Linked DNA regions of Drosophila melanogaster. The protein of the gene in region 3 interacts with the protein of the main gene of each other region in a pairwise test. Each region holds a gene or a part of one and is shown on either strand. Other genes may lie near its edges. The genes, in order: CG7992, CG17147, Spt-I and Ssk.

The links.
Region 1: the proteins of Spt-I (region 3) and CG7992 interact in a two-hybrid assay, tested with the Drosophila melanogaster proteins (one large-scale study listed by BioGRID).
Region 2: the proteins of Spt-I (region 3) and CG17147 interact in a two-hybrid assay, tested with the Drosophila melanogaster proteins (one large-scale study listed by BioGRID).
Region 4: the proteins of Spt-I (region 3) and Ssk interact in a two-hybrid assay, tested with the Drosophila melanogaster proteins (one large-scale study listed by BioGRID).

Annotation. Positions count from the first base shown.
Region 1 is NC_004354.4:19,244,635-19,248,991, forward strand, and holds CG7992 (uncharacterized protein), read right to left. Parts: upstream 2,617-4,357; 5' UTR 2,481-2,616; coding exon 2,420-2,480; intron 2,361-2,419; coding exon 2,103-2,360; intron 1,762-2,102; coding exon 638-1,761; 3' UTR 524-637; downstream 1-523. Other genes in the region: CG7889 (uncharacterized protein), read left to right, coding at 1-23, 85-191.
Region 2 is NT_037436.4:20,222,230-20,225,875, reverse strand, and holds CG17147 (uncharacterized protein), read right to left. Parts: upstream 1,945-3,646; 5' UTR 1,854-1,944; coding exon 1,847-1,853; intron 1,590-1,846; coding exon 583-1,589; 3' UTR 552-582; downstream 1-551. Other genes in the region: CG17145 (uncharacterized protein), read right to left, coding at 2,959-3,646.
Region 3 is NT_033778.4:13,166,514-13,171,261, forward strand, and holds Spt-I (serine palmitoyltransferase subunit I), read left to right. Parts: upstream 1-1,984; 5' UTR 1,985-2,057; exon of another isoform or gene 2,058-2,301; 5' UTR 2,302-2,327; coding exon 2,328-2,375; exon of another isoform or gene 2,376-2,437; coding exon 2,438-2,937; exon of another isoform or gene 2,938-2,993; coding exon 2,994-3,321; exon of another isoform or gene 3,322-3,376; coding exon 3,377-3,742; intron 3,743-3,794; exon of another isoform or gene 3,795-3,803; coding exon 3,804-3,968; 3' UTR 3,969-4,231; downstream 4,232-4,748. Other genes in the region: GLaz (glial lazarillo), read right to left, coding at 1-48.
Region 4 is NT_037436.4:20,186,837-20,190,299, forward strand, and holds Ssk (snakeskin), read left to right. Parts: upstream 1-1,685; 5' UTR 1,686-1,875; coding exon 1,876-1,926; intron 1,927-2,155; coding exon 2,156-2,352; intron 2,353-2,483; coding exon 2,484-2,724; 3' UTR 2,725-2,943; downstream 2,944-3,463. UniProt on the Drosophila melanogaster protein: Required for assembly of smooth septate junctions (sSJs), together with mesh and Tsp2A. May be important for barrier function of the midgut epithelium.

The DNA.
Region 1 (4,357 bases), on a different chromosome or scaffold from region 3:
GCACAAGTTCATGACCCAGCTGGGTGAGTCATGTCATATCTCCAGATGGGGAACGCCCGCATAACTAAGCATATTATCCTCCAGGTGACAGTGGCTACAAGGTGACTCCATGTGCGAACGTATCGGCCTGTGCCAGCCACTTTTGTCGCGATCACACCGCCGCCGTCCAGATTATCTCCATAAGACGCTAGTTTTAGTCCTAAAATAAACCTACACCACGTAAACAAACACCCACTATCTGGAACCCACTTAAGGCCTTGATTGTATCTCTATTGGGATTGTTTGGAAAATTGGAAAAGAATTTACAGCTCTTTAATGATGATAAAGATACAACTGCAAAACCTTTTAGGCGGATCATATGAAAATGTGTATATCAGAAGTTTTGTATCTAATTTCCAAAGAATTTGACTTAAGCAGTTATAGTTCTATATTTAATATTCTTAAGTCGTTTATATGCCTTGATATATAGACGAAATTTATAGCTTCTTCAACTCAGGCTCCTATTTCTGTTGTCACCAATTGTATGTGGATAAAGACTGAGAAGTCTTTTTATTTTCGATTCATTAAATACTGAGTATTTGTGATAAGATAAGAAAGTGTGTGTGTACAGCTCGGGGACCTAAGCTCAAATTCGGGCTCACTGGTTGATGGTGGGAATGGTGCCGTCGTTCAGCCAACGGACGTTGAGCTGCTCGATCTGGTGCTTCATAAAGATGATGCCGTACACCTCGTACTGGATCTCCAGCAGCTGGGCGCGATGCGTCCGGGGCACCTTCATGCCCACCACGAGTGCCAGCAGCGAGGTGATGATGAGAAAGACGAATCCCTGGGCCATCAGAGTGCTCGAGTCGGTGGCATAGAAGTAGGAGTTCTTCGCATCCGCCACAAAGTAGAAGTACACGATGCTGGTGCAGATCAACTTGAGCACATACGAGATGCATATGATGCATTCGGTGAAGCGCAGATGGGTGACCTCCAGCAGGAGAATCTGCTGCTGCGAGTACGACAGGCCAAAGAGCACAAGGAGCAGCCAGAGCGACCACCTGGAGTCCGTAACGCTGCAGAGGATCATGGCCAGCAGAGTGAAGGAGATGAGGGCCACCTGCGAGCCCACAAAGGTGACCTTCACCGACAGGAACCACTGGCAGATGAGGGCCAGCAGGCTGCCCGCAAAGATCACCCAGAACATGCCGTCGATGCCGGAGAACTCTGTCAGCCGGATGGCCGGATTAAGGGCAAACCAGTAGACAAAGTACACGAACAGGGCGAACTGCACGGCCTCCGTGAAGAGGAGCAGTAGCATTATGTTCCACTGCTGGTTCTTGGTCACGTAGAAGAACTGCAGTCGCTTGATGACCTCCGATCGCTGCTCGAAGATGCTGCCATTCGAGTTGGCGATCCGCAGGTCGTTGTCCATGCTGTTCACCAGGTCGACGGTGCCCAGAAAGTGGAGCACCTTCTGGCCCACCAGAATGGCCAACACGGCGGCCGCCACACTCAAGTAGGTGCCGGCGAAGTTTACATAGATGCCATCGATCAGTTGCTCCGTGGTCACCGTCTGTCCGGCCAGCTCCTTTACATTCCGGCTGTAGGAGGCCACGATCAGGCTGACGGCGGACGCCACGCCCAGCAGGTAGCAGCTGCAGCTGCCCGAGAGGAACAGCGACCTGCTGCCCTTGGAGCTGATCGTGAGCAGGAAGCTATAGCCGGCCACGAAGGTCATGCTGTGCGCCAAGTACGATATATAGGCTCCGACGTGGTCTGAAGTGATAATAATAGTGGGATTAAGGAATTGGAAAAACTCGCTGAAATCATACATTCAAAACATTTCTTAACGATATTGATTTAAGAATATAGATTTCAAAATCTAGCCAAGATTGAATCATGCTCAACATACTCAGATCGAGATCGAATCATTTTCAGATTGCAAATCACTTTGCCTCTCTCTCTCTCTCTATTGGGAAATAAATTCAAGTATTGTTAACTGAAATCTATTTCAAAACTTATATGTAGAACATCCCAGTTCCAGCCATATAGATACAGATTGATTTACTTTTCACAAGCCTTTCGAAGCGAATTAATAGCCCATAGAAATGACTCACCAAATCCATCGGCAAAGTAGAAGCAGCTGCCTATGAGATTAAAGACTCCGGCTGCCAGGAGCAGCCATGGCTGCCAGTAGACGATGCACTTCTTCACGAACTTGACCGTCAGCATGGCCAGGGCAGTGATCAACGCCCAGCAGGCGCCCAGAATCAATGGTCCATAGTGAATGAGTCCAGCGTTGAGGTTCCGCTCCGCAACAAAGGCGCAGATCGTATAGCCAAAGATCATGCCGCAGGGCAGGAAGCACAGGCAGACTGGAAGTGAATGAGACGTAATCTCTGGACAAGGATCTCCATTGGCGTGGCTAACTCACCCACATAGCTGGGCGCATATTTAAAGAACTTCAGCACCAGTTTGCCCCACACATTCGACATTTTTGCGATAGATTTGCGTTAGTTAGTCCAGCAGCAGGGAGAGGAAGGTTCGTCTATCGAAGGAGCTTAGAGCATTTTAGCGAGCAGCTGGAATGGAGATGCCTACGATGCGACGCCGGACAAATGGCAAATGGGCCGGTGGAAGTCCGGCGGAGAATTCGACTGCGACGAAGGCGGCGCAGATAAGGCGATAAGATAAGCCAACCCGACCCGACCAGGTGCATGTGTGTGGTGGCCATGGATACACGGGCGGAAAAGTTGAGGGTTTGGGATTATCTAGCCATTTCTCCGCTCGGGTTCATGAATTATGATAGTCAAAAGGAAATCCGATTATGTTGCGCATCTTGTGGAGAAATTCGTTGGTTATAGATCAATGTTTTTTTTTGTACCTGAATGTATCTTTTTTTGAGCAAGTATCTATCTATGGCATTACTCGAAGTACTATATTTCCCATTTTATGTAAATATTTTTACCCCAATTTATATGATCGAATTTCCTGGCGCTTTTTTCGCCAGTGTATCCCAAAGTGAGTGACTAATGCCGCAGTGGAATAAGCCACTTGGACAGATAAACAGATGTCCGCCGGTTGATAAGCTCCTTGGCAGTTGGCCCAACTGAGGGCCCCTACTATTTACCACGCTGCCACGGAAACGTACAATTTTTTGGCCTTTCATATGCATAAGAAAACAATGTGGCAAAGGCCATTGGGCCATTCCAACGATAGGGCTTAAAACTAATCTCAAATGGCTAATGGTGATAGGAGTACGGGCAATAGAACGTCCGGCGATAATGCTTGGTAAATTGATTTCAATCCAATATTAAATGCCAGCAAGTACTTTATCAGACGCAAATGGGGTGGTTGGGTTGTGGGTGGGTGGTTGGTTGCCAAAGTGGGTGGGGGTAAGTTCTTGGTTAGTTTGTTTACCTTTGAGCGGAAAATTGATTGAAGCCGAGAGCAAAAAAGAGAGAGAGAGAGAGTTGCGACAGGAAGTAAGAAAATAAAAGGCCGTATACGAAAAGATTATGGTCGAATAAATATTAAGATGGCATTCCCAGCCTACATAACAAACTATATACATATATACATTTTTAGAAATAATAAAAAATATTAGAAATACTACTTAACGATTGCGTTTTTGGAGTACATTTTATCATGTATTCGTTGTGAAGTTAGAAATTAACAAATCAATAATGTCTATTATTATTGCTTAATATAAATATAACTTTATCAGACTTGGAAATTAATTACTAACTTAAGTGAAATACTTATTTATTAAGATTTGATTTGTGTAGAAAGCAAAGATTTCGTCAAACCCTCACAAAGCGGAAATTCTTCAGATTTTAGTATCTTTTGATTTAACTATATATGTCTGCTTTCTTTCTTAAAGACATGATGTGATAGCAAGCTGTCACTACATTAATTATCTGCTACATTCAAGACTTGGCACTTCTTTCGGGCAGTGTACATTTGCGACGTCACACCAACGGCGATTCGACGAGCTGGCGAGAGAGCAAGCAAAACGCTCAGTTGCATAAGCGTCCCGAGACGAGAGAGGATGTGTCCAATGCGCCTGTGCGCTTCCCAGGCGCAACCATGACACGGCCGCTTCCCCCACCCATCCTGTCATCCTGCACAAACGGAGCCGAACCGGCGGCCCAGGCAGCGCTTATCCGCTGGCAGGGCACCCCAATGTCTTGGCCCTGCCTTATCCCTGGCTTTCACTTCCGCAACTCGGCTGCGACGACAGCTCCGGCACTTGCAGGCCGAACTCGTAGCGCCAGCACCACCCCAACCACACCAACCACCCACCAGCCACCTAACAGCAGCAGCAACCACCAGCAACTACCAGCAGCTCCAGCGTTGCGAACAGCCCCAT
Region 2 (3,646 bases), on a different chromosome or scaffold from region 3:
TGGTATTTTCATGTGGATGTTGTTCTACATTTTGGTAACTGATCAACAGAACGATAAAACTAATTGATTTCTAAATTTAGAAAGATTAGAAATGTGTTGTCTAATTTTAATGCGTACCATACGGGCAATTACCTGAATTTTAAATGTGTGCTATTAATGGATTGCTCATAAAGCACATAGTATATGTTTGTATTGTACCCAAAAAAACTGAAATTTCAAGCCAAATCGTAAATATAATTGTTTTGAAAACAAAATAAAAACAAAAAAAAATGCTATAGTCGAAGTCCCCGATATTTTTGAATATTAGTAGAAATTAAAAACCAAACCATAATTTAAAAATTGTTCGAAAGTGTGGTCGTGACAGTTTTGGGTGGTTTGTGGAATATTGATCCTGATCAAGAATATATACTCCATATGGTCGAAAACGCTTCCCTCTGCTTGTTACATACTTCTCAACGAATCTAGTATACCCTTTTAACCTGTGTACCTTTCTAGTGTCTTTGCTTTTAACGGATATATTGATCGCCAATAAAAATCAACTACCTCTTTTTCTTTGCACTTTTAGTTAAATTTATTTTTTGTTTAGTCCCGGCCATCGCAACACTTATCGTAGATGATCTTGGAGGAGCACGCTTCCACTGTCTCGTCGAAGAAGTGATCCCAGTGGCAGGTTTCCTCCGTCACCTCCTTGTTGTCCACACACCGGATGTAGTTGTGACAGTTATTGCTGCTGCTGGTCACCAGCATCGTGCCGCGTCCGTCGCATCTGTTGTGGGTGCACACCACTGTGGTGGGATTGGCGCAGAGCTGCCGATCCTCGTCGAAGAAGTAGCCCTCGGGGCACTGCGTCCACAGTGGATCCAGGTCGGCGACGGGATAGAGGGCCTTGCATACGAAGTATCCACGGCAGGTGGCTTGGTCGGATTTGAATGTCATTGTTGTGCTGCTGGTGCAGACGTTCTCCTTCGAATGGGCGGTGCACTCCACCTTATTGGCTTCCACGCAATTGCCGCTCTCCACATCGAAATACTCGCGCTTCTTGGAGGTGACAGTGCAGCTCTTGGACGCATGGTTACCGGTCTTGTCACACTCATAGTAGTAGGCGCAGTCCTTCTCATTCCGGAACTTCGTATTTTCCGCCACCAGCTCGCAAATGTTGTTCACATCCACGCACATGGAGTCCACGCCGTACAGGCAGGACTGAGAGCGCTCATCGAAGTGCTGGCCTACGGGACACATCCCCGCCAGCGGTACGCCGTTCATGCAGTAGAAGTACTTGTGGCACTCGGTCGGATCGGCCACCCATTCGCCATCCAATCCCTCGCAGCGATTGCCGCAGTACTTGTTGCTGTTGGCCAACGTGTCCACGCAACTACCCTTGCTGGGATTGAAGGACTGGTTGGAGGGGCAGGTCAGGACGGTGCCGTTGCCATCGTAGCACTGAATGTACTGGTCGCAGGTGCCGGGCTTGCGAACCTTGGTCCCGTTCTTGAAAAGGCGACACAGCTCCTCGTATTCACCGACACTCGCCGAAAGAGCTACGGTAGCCAACAAGAGAACGCATCCGAGAAGCACTCCAAGTTTGAGGTCTACGAATGATATACATATGATCGCGAGATATTAGATTGATACAGCACACCTTTTGAAAAACATATAGATATGCTTAAAAACCTTTAAAGATATACCTATAAAAATGAATATGAATGAACAAAATATCTAGATTCTACATTTTAATTGTATCTTTAAAAACGCATGCAAGCTGTTACTTTTCACTAAAAATAAAGGCTGAATCAGGGTGTATAAGTAAATATCTATGACGGTAAATTAATGGGTTCATAAAACTCACTTAGCATGGCTGATTGCTGGGAAACTTTGGTTTAATTTGCAACAGAATAGATCGAGTGGTTTGATGTGGCCTCGGGAACCAATTACGCGCGACTAAATGGAGTTTCGTGAATGGAAGAATCTTATATTAACTAGGAGTCATTATCGTTGCCACTGCTTCTGCTGATACCAGCGCTTTATTGCCTCTCTTATGAGCAAATCTTATCAATGTTGTGCGAAAGGAGGTAAAACCCTTCAAGTAGGTCGTAATTGGTGATTGAAATCGATTGAAATCGAGACAGCTGACTGCAGATTCCTTAACGACTCACTTTCATAGTAAATTTTGGCAACTTCAGTCGAAAAGGAAAGTGCCACTAGTTAATGAGGTATACCCACGGTAGTTACGAGTCAAATGAACCTTCTGTTGGCCGTTAATTAATTGAACTATAAATATATTTATCGCTGATGCGATTAAACGGTCAGCAGTTATTGTGCCGTAAATATGACAACCTTTTAAAATATACTGCCTTGCTATTTCACTGTCGCTTTCGATAGGTTTTTGTTTGGAAAATCAGAACTTTTGAAAACATTGATTGTAACCAACGAATAGGACAGTGATTATCATTTATGGTCTCCTCGGTGAGGCCATGCTATTCCATCGTTACCACCTGCAAGAAAAGTTTCCATGATTGAGTGAATTCTTAAAATTCTATTTGTTCATTTACCTAGTTTTCAGCTGAATTGTTCCAGGAATATTAAACAAAATACAGGTGTTCTTCACTCACCCATCAGATATTATTTATTCGAATTTCGAACTAGAACTTGTTTAAGATTATTGTTCTTTTTGGTAGCTAATCTTAAGCATTAGAGCAACGAAAACAATCTACGTTCTTATAAAAACGGGTAAAAAAACAATATATCTCAACTACGATCCTCGAGTTACAGCAAAGATACTGGCTTACAGCAGAAACTTGTCATTGTGCATAAACACGAACTCGCTAGAGAGCCGCGTATCTATATCTATGACAATCCAGGTTCCACAGTCCCCGAAAGAATCCAAACTAGTGCACTTCATTACAACACTTCCTTAACCAAATATCACATTGCATTCTGAGCTTTATTGGAAATACATGCCTACGTCTTGCACGCGGTGTAGGTCTGGACACTTGGAGTGCAGGCGCCCTGCTGGTCGTCGAAGAAGTAGTTGCCGCAGGACCTCTCGCTCACGGTTACCCCGTCGGAGCAGCTCAGATAGTTGCGACAGCCCTTGGTGGCACTAACGACAAAACTAGCAGTCCGACCGTCGCAACGATCGTGGGAGCAATAGACCGAACTGGGGGTTATGCACATCTGGCTGCTCGCATCGAAGAATCTGTCCTGGGGACACTGGTTCCACACCGGATTGGGGTCCGGGGTGCCATCCTTCTGCTTGGCGCAGTAGAAGTAGCCGCGACAGGTGGCTTCATCCGCGACGAACTTGTTCTCGTAGGGCTTACTGGCCTTGCCGCAGACATCCGTGGGCAACGGATGGGCATCGCAGTCCACCAGAGCCTTGGACACACACTCGCCCGTGCTGGCCTGATAATAGGTTTTCGAGCATGTCTTGTCCTTCAGGACGCCCTTCTCACAGACGTGATACATATTGCAGCCCTGCAGATTGTCGAAGTTTACGCCGTTCTTAACAATGCTGCAGTACTCGAAGGTGCTGGTGGTGCAATCCGATTCGTGTTGGCGGGAGCACATCTGGGTGGTGGCATTGAAGTGCGTCTCCTGCGGACAGGTGCCGTACAAGGCCGTCTCCTCGTCCGCACAGTAATAGTAG
Region 3 (4,748 bases):
TCCGGACAACAGCCAAACCCTCGAGCCAAGTGGCTGGCCACTCATCATGGTTGCTTCTGATAGTTCACTTTGAATATTTGGCACTTTAGGCGGCAGAATCGGCACTCCAGCACCTAACTAAACTGTGTGGAATTCGAAATCAGGCAATTTCCATTGAACTCGACCGTTTTAACTTGGCTGTGCACAAAGCGGTGATTTCCGATACGACGGGTTCACTTGGCCAACGAACTATGGATCGTCATGAACCAACTACATATACATTTCCTCAAAGGTACACCATGTCCGTCCATTAGTATTCCGGATGGGATGTGTGCGATAATGGAACGTGCTGGCTACCGGCTTAGTGGAGCAAGCCGGACCGAATTGGTAGGTCCCGCAAAGAAGAAGAAGTAAAGTGATGTGATGTGAGGTGAAGTGAAGTGAAAACCACTAACTGGGTTGGCGCGGCGCCGTGTTTATTATTGATATTTATTTTGGTTTTTGGCTCGTGCCCGGCCAGCGAGTTACGTAAAAGAAAAGCCAACGTCAAAATGCAGCTCGAAAACTGGTTGCTCCACCGATTTTCGCACACACCAAGAGATACTTATTGCGCATTGCAAAAAGCGGGTAAAAGCGAAAATACCTAATCGAGGAAATACTGCGCTGGGATGCATCAATTGTGTCATGGAGTTAGTCGGGTGCATTGCTCGATTTATCTGCGAAAGTGGGCATGGTGTAGACATGGTAGCTTCATTCGAGCGCATCAAGTTCAAGAGAAATAGGAAGTGGCTTTTCTTTGCGCTATTTCGGTTTGCCATTATCGCATGGGCAATGCTAACTATAACTATTTGATTGATAGATAGTGATGTGAAAGGTACTTTGATTGGTAGCTACATAGTATAGTTCATCAGTATCAGTTGGCAATTATTTAATAATATTGTAATTTAAGACGAAATGGAACTTGATAAAAATGATTATGTATATTTTAAATACAATCGTGACTTTGAAAGAAGTATTTCCTTGGGTCTAATTGAATAGTGATATAGGTAAATAGTAAATAATTATATGAAATGCAATAGAATTTACTATATATTAAAACAAGGACATTTGCAAGGAAGAGTGAATACTTGTACCTAGACTAGATCGCGACACATAGCGTAAATTGTTGTATCTAGACTACCAGCCAGGTACACCCAAATATACACTTCCCATCACTGCCAATAGAAAAAAGTGTTAATTTCACAGAAAACGACAGCCGCAAGTGGCTGAAAATAAACCAAGGCAATTGCAAAATACTCTTGTTGTCCAGCTGATTTCACTTTGTGCACATACAAGTATCCGTTTCGATTCGCGTGTAATGTGATAAAGTTTTCTTGCAAAATGCAGAACTAACTATATCTCTTTGTTTACATCGGCTTTTTGCGGTGTTCTTTGTCTTCTCGCGGTTTTTATCTCGCGAACTCGAATTTCAGATGGCGCCAGTAACGCGGCTCATTCACATCGGTTGACCGATCGCAGCAGCAGTTCAATGGAAACTGAATGGATCGGCGGTTTGAATTGAATTCGATTTCGTTATTTCCCACCGCACGGTCACACTGCGATCGCTGCTCTGCCTATCGATATAAAATAGTAATCGATCATATATTTGAAATGATAACTAGAAAAGAACCGTTACGTAGCAAGTTTATTTGAGTTCAGTATCATAAAAATATTGATAAAATCTAGGTAATTTTTAATAAAAATTTAAAATCTGTTGTAACTTGTTGTATTTTGTTGTTAGCGAGTCAGCTCGGTGGGACAGGTCAGTGGGACACGTCAGCGGAACAGGTCGGTGGGTCAGATCGGCGGGACAGGTCGGTGGGGCAGGTGGGCGGGACAGGTCGACAGGACCAGGTTTTTGAATAACAAAAAATAAATAAAAACGTCCCCTAGTTCCATATTCCACTGTTCCTCCATCGCCGCCAATTTGGCGCACATCTTAAAGATATCCGCGTATTGGTATTTTTTAGTACATTCGTTCATCCATCTGTTTCGGCGGATATTTCACGCATTTTGCCTATAGTTAACTGAGTTTTGTGGTGAGTGCTCGATTTAAATGGATATTTAATGTAAGAGAATGTTGGAGAAGGGCGTGGTTGCACATTTTTCGCCCACTGGCAATTAGCCTATGTCAGCATACACACCCAATTGAAAAGATTTCCGTACCGTATGGTCGAATGCTTCAATTCTACATATGTATGGGGCATACCCGCGATAAGAAAGCGTCGGCTAGATGACACATAACTTCAGGGAATTAAGGCGGTTTCAATTGATTTTTCACAGAAAGGGCACGGAACCAGACTGTCAAAATGGTGGCCATCCAATTGTTCAACGAAATCGGCAGTATTTTCCGAAACGTAAGTTTGCATTCGCCTTTTTCACCACATTTAGCTTACTCCAGTTTCTACTCCTTCCACAGACCCCCACGTTTGCTCTCGTCTTGGAGACCCTACTGCTCATAACCGTGATTTGGTTGCTGCTCCACAGACGAGGAGGAGGTCGTCGCCGACAGCTGACCAAGGAGGAGGAAGACCGAATAATCGCCGACTATGAACCAGAGCCCTTGGTGGCCGACACCGATCCCAATCATCCCCTGCTGCACACCCGCGTTGTGCAGTCCAGGGTGGGCAAGCGCATCCAGGTCGATGGACACGACTGCCTAAATCTTGGCTCTCACAACTATCTTGGCTTCCTCGAGGACCAGGAGATACTGGAGGAGGCCTGCAAGTCGCTGCGCAAGTACGGAGTTGGATCTTGCGGACCTCGGGGCTTCTACGGCACTATGGACGTGCATCTGGACCTGGAGGATCGTATTGCCAAGTTCATGGGCCTGGAGGAGGCCATTGTCTATTCCTACGGCTTCTCGACCGTGGCCAGTGCCATTCCGGCGTATGCCAAACGTGGCGACCTTATCTTTGTGTAGGATTGTCTACTTCACCTACTCAGATTGGCGACTAATTACTTGTTATTTGTAGGGATGAGGCTGTCAACTTTGCCATTCAGAAGGGTCTGGATGCTTCACGAAGCACAATCGTTTTCTTTAAGCACAATGACGTTGAGGATCTAGAACGTCTGCTGATTGAGCAAGAAAAACGAGACCAGAAAAATCCGAAAAAGGCGGCTAAGACACGTCGCTTCCTCGTCGCCGAGGGTATCTATATGAATACGGGCGAGATTTGCCCACTTCCCGACCTGGTGGCCTTGCGTCAGAAGTACAAGCTGCGTTTGTTCATCGACGAAAGCATCTCCTTTGGCACATTGGGCCAGGGTGGTCACGGAGTTACGGAGCACTTTAATGTCGATGTAGGTGGTAAACCGGAAAGAAAAACTAAAATTATAACTGGTATTTTTCTTTTAGCGTGATGAAGTCGATCTGATATCGGCCGGCATGGAGGGTTCGATGGCAACAGTCGGTGGCTTCTGTGTTGGCTCGCACTTCATAGCCGAGCACCAGCGCCTCTCTGGCTTGGGCTACATCTTCTCGGCCTCGCTGCCGCCCATGCTCACCCAGGCGGCTATTTCAGCGTTGGATCGTTTCGAACGAGAACCACAAATCTTCGAGCAGCTGCAGGCAAAGTCTAAGACGTTGCACCAGAAGTTTTTGCGATTCAGCAAGCTAACCCTGCGCGGCGATGAGGTGTCACCAGTGAAGCACTTGTATCTTGCCCAGCCCGCCGAGAACTTTGACAAGGAACTGAAACTTCTAACAGAGCTGGCTGATAAGGTAGGCATTTTATTTCCCCATGCAATTATGAAAACTATACATTTCTACTCACTTTTCCCAGTGCATTGCTCGTGGAGTGGCTGTGGTACAGGCTGCCTACCTGCAGAACAGGGAACGCCAACCAGTCCGTCCCAGCATTCGCATTGCTGTCAACCGTTTGCTGGAGAGTTCGGAAATAGACAATGCGTTTGAGGTCATCGAGAGTGTTTCCAGCTCCGTCCTATAAGCCTTGTTGTTGGAAAGGAATGATCTTCTTTCGACAATGGCCTTGCTGTTAAGTTTTAAGGCCTGCTGGCCCCATCATTTTTTCATCACTTCTTCACGACCAGTCCAGTATGAATTGTTTAAGTTAATAGCTAGCCTTGCACTTGCTCTTTGCACTTTGTTGCATTGCATTTTAATGAAAAATTTTAAGTCTAGGAAAACTTTCAAAGATTACACGTTATAGATAACAGAGCTGGTTAAATAAAACTATTAAGTTTATTTGGTAGTTACGTGCCCTTTTATTGGTGTTTCTTATCGCCTGCGCAATCGCAAACGTTTTTGAATATCCCGATAAAGATAAGGGTAATATTATGTGGCATTTGTTGTAAAATTTACAAGAACAACTTCCACAAAGAAACATTCATTATTTATTTATGTTTTTCTTGCATGACAATTAAGATACACATCACACGCTTAATAATAACTAATATGTGGAATAAGCCAGATGGAATGGAAATGCTTTGAAACGATTTGATTGCCAGTGGAGCAGAGCTGTTTCCGAGTGGCGACCTAATCTGTGAGCAATAATCATAACCCTTCGACTTTCAAACCCATGTTTGTGCATTCGATTCACTGATGAACTTGACAACGACGACCCCAAATCATGATGTTGTGCACATAGCGCTCTGATTTCGATGCCGATATGCCAGCCGGCAATCAGCGCCAATTGAGCGTATACGTACTATGAACTTGGGTGCGGTGCTATCAGTGCGAATACGCAACATTTGGCGACAAAAACATG
Region 4 (3,463 bases), on a different chromosome or scaffold from region 3:
TTCATCGCAACAAACCAAATGCAGAGGAGACAAATTCCAAATTTAACGTCGCTTGCTTTCTGGGACTCCACATGGGGATTTGAGAAGTGGGGAAGAATCCGCGGTGCTGAGCGGCATTCGCAATGGGGGAACGAAAACAAAGAACTCGACAACCTTTGGCCTTGATTTGGGAAGATATTCCTTTGCTTATCCAGGCATCAGACAACTTGCATTTAAAATGGAAAGCAGATCTATGTAAATAAATCAGTATCCATGTACCTTGCTCAAATTTAATTTTATTACCTTTAATTAAATAAATCTTATTCAATTACTTGTTTTCCCTAAGCAAATACTATTCTTAAGGCATTCAAGCACGTTTAATCACATTTTAAAAACTTGTATACAAAAGAGACAATTTCCGCTAAAACAACATATTTATTTTGAAAAGCTTAGGTTGGAAAGTTAGTTGTATGCTAAAATTAAATTTTCTGAAATGAAATCCAATAATACCCTCGGCACAGCGTAAATAATACTTGTTTATATATAGTACTCATGAATATCAGTGTGTATACTTGCTACTCAATGCGGGTCATAAAAAAAACCCTTGATGAGGTGTGATCTCATGTTTGTTCCATGTTCTGAACTTATGATTTATACAAGCACATTTTAATGTCGGCCTTAAATACAAAACACAGGGCACGAGGTGCCAAATGTGCAGTATAGTTAATTTCCCACGCCCTCCAAACTTATGCAATTATTCATTTGTCCAAAAACCATATGCATCCATTTTCAATTAGTTTTTAAACATTGAATTTAGAAACAAGGGACTGTAACTATTTCTAACTAAGTTCTTTCTTTTCTTCGTGACCTGAAAATTGTTTGCTTTTCATGTTACACAGTGTTCTTAAAACGCACCATTCATCCAAGAGTTGTATTTTTATACACCATTTTACTGTGATAAATAGGCAATATGTAAATCGAGGAACCCCACATCAACCGCAAGTTGCTTTTTTGCTCCCCAATTGCTCCTATCATTTTGCATTGTGCTCTTCCAATTGATTCGAAATCTCGAACATGGGCCACCTACAGCCACGATTATTGTGCTAGGGTTGTGATAATTGAAATGCAGATTAGGTTCCAGTGACTTTTTGTGTGTCTGAGACTTTTTAATCAGTAGCTGGAATCCACTGGGCTATCGATCATCGGAATCGTGACAAGGTCAGTGAATTTTTAATCTGTTCGAGGGATGCACCACCGGGAGCTTTATCAGTGGGAATGGGAATGGGTCACCACGAAAGTATTTCAGAAATACATCGATGACGCAAGAATAATTGTTTCCGGTCTCTCAGAGCCGCGGGTATGTTTCCCCGTTTTGTGGCTTTGTGGCCGCCATGAATAATGTGTAACAATGCTGTGGAAAGCGGCAAATCGGAGCACCTGATATATCGCGATGTAAGGCGACAGAGCTGCGATAAGGCCGTTTTGATAAGATACGCGGGTGGGGCTGGCGCATGCGCATCTGGGTTTCATTGGGCTTCGGAGCCTGAACATGTTGAACCGTCAACGAATTAGTAACCCATTTCGAACGGCACCTGTTATCGTGAGCCCTATCTTATCTTATCGCTGACCGTGTATGCTCTGATTGCAAAAGCTACAAATTCTTGGCGACACGACGAACTGGGCGCGACAGGTTGGTTGGTTGCCTTTCAGTGATATTTTTCAGTTTAGTCGACGAACGACAACGATACGAAAACGAATCATTTCGCTGTAGTTTCCGCGTGAAAATTACAGAAAAGATTGTGAGTGCCCCTTGACTGGGAGAAACCCCTCTGTGAACTAAAGCATTTGCCCAAATTCCAGCTCAGCGATAAGAGCAATCAGCATATCTAGTGCGAAATGGTGTCCGTGGAGACTGTAGGCTCTATTTTCATCAAGGCCCTGAAGCTGGTAAGTTTTGGGCTTCTTTGGTCCCTTCCTATTGAGCAATAGCCTGTTTGTGGTCGCAATAACTCGGCTGATAGATAAGCGCGCGTTTTATCAGTCCTGGCGTATTAGCAATGTTACTCATACGCCGAGTTGTACGGCAAGGCGAGGCGTGGCCAAGAAGTGATTCATTCATTCCCATTCCCAATTGTGACCTCATTTAATTGCTCTCCTGTGCGCTCCTTTTTCGCAGATCATCAATCTGGTGATCATCTTCTTGTACCGTTGGGGCGATGGTGGCGAATTCCTGGGCATCGGCGGCACGTGGAACTTAAACGAGGAGAAGAGCGCCGATGCGGAAATCGTAGCCTCAGGCGTCATGGTTGGATTCTTGATTTACACTGGATGCCACACCATTGCCTTTGCCTTCGGCACAACCAAACATAAGGGGTATGTTGAATGCCGATATTGATTATAGCTGAACTTTGACCCGCATCTTATTCCTTTTCTTGTATTTTCCGCCCTTAATTCCACACTCTCAACTCACAACTGTTTGTTTTCAATGGCTTTCCGTTTTTCAGAGAGCTGTGCGACACCATCATGAACGTGGTTGGCTGCATCATGTGGATCGCCGTGGGCGGAGTGGCACTCCACTACTGGAAGGGTTACATGTCCGACGAGGGATTCCTGTATGTGAACTCGGAGCGTCAAGTGGGCATTGCCATGGGCTCGCTGTGCGTTATCGAGGGCGCACTGTACCTGCTGGACACCGTGTTGGCTTGCATACACTATTCGAAGGGCGACACCGACTACACGCAGTAGAAACTGAATAGTGGGGATACCAATCGCAGCCGCCGAATAAACACCATCCACATTTGTCTTTATACATAGATCGATTTAAGTGCAAATTAGTTATTATCCGCAATCAATTATCAACTATACGTTCGTAAGGGTCAATTGTCGCTGTACTATACACTAACTGTTTACAATTTTCATTCACGTTTAACATCCTTAAATTGGCAAATACAAATAGTTAAGACCACGCCACGGATAAAAGTTTTTGTGCATTTGGGAACTAATTAAGGGGATGCAATGGAATGCCACTTACTAGTAAGTATCAATTGTAACCTAAATCAACTAATTACCATCAGAACCCATTGATCGTGTTGCTCAGTTTCTTTTTTTCTGATATCATTGCAATTAATGAAAGATTATTTATATATATCATACATCATACGTAAGCATTTTGCTAATTTTTGTCAAAAAACGACAACTTAGATTTGTTGACTAAACTTTTCGACTTTAAACTAACACCCAATCGAAATTTCATATTCCAAGCGATCTGATACTGATATATTGTAATTGGTGAGATATTTCATTTGTTTTTAGTACTAGTACTAGAGAACCTATTGCTCTCCAAGAACCTAATATTCTTTTAAAGAACTTGATGGAAAACTAAACTAATTGTTTAGGAACTGATGCACACAGGAAAAATGTCAGACGATTCGCAGAATTTGGTATATATCACTCATTTCTTTGCTGAGAACAGAGTTCATGAGTT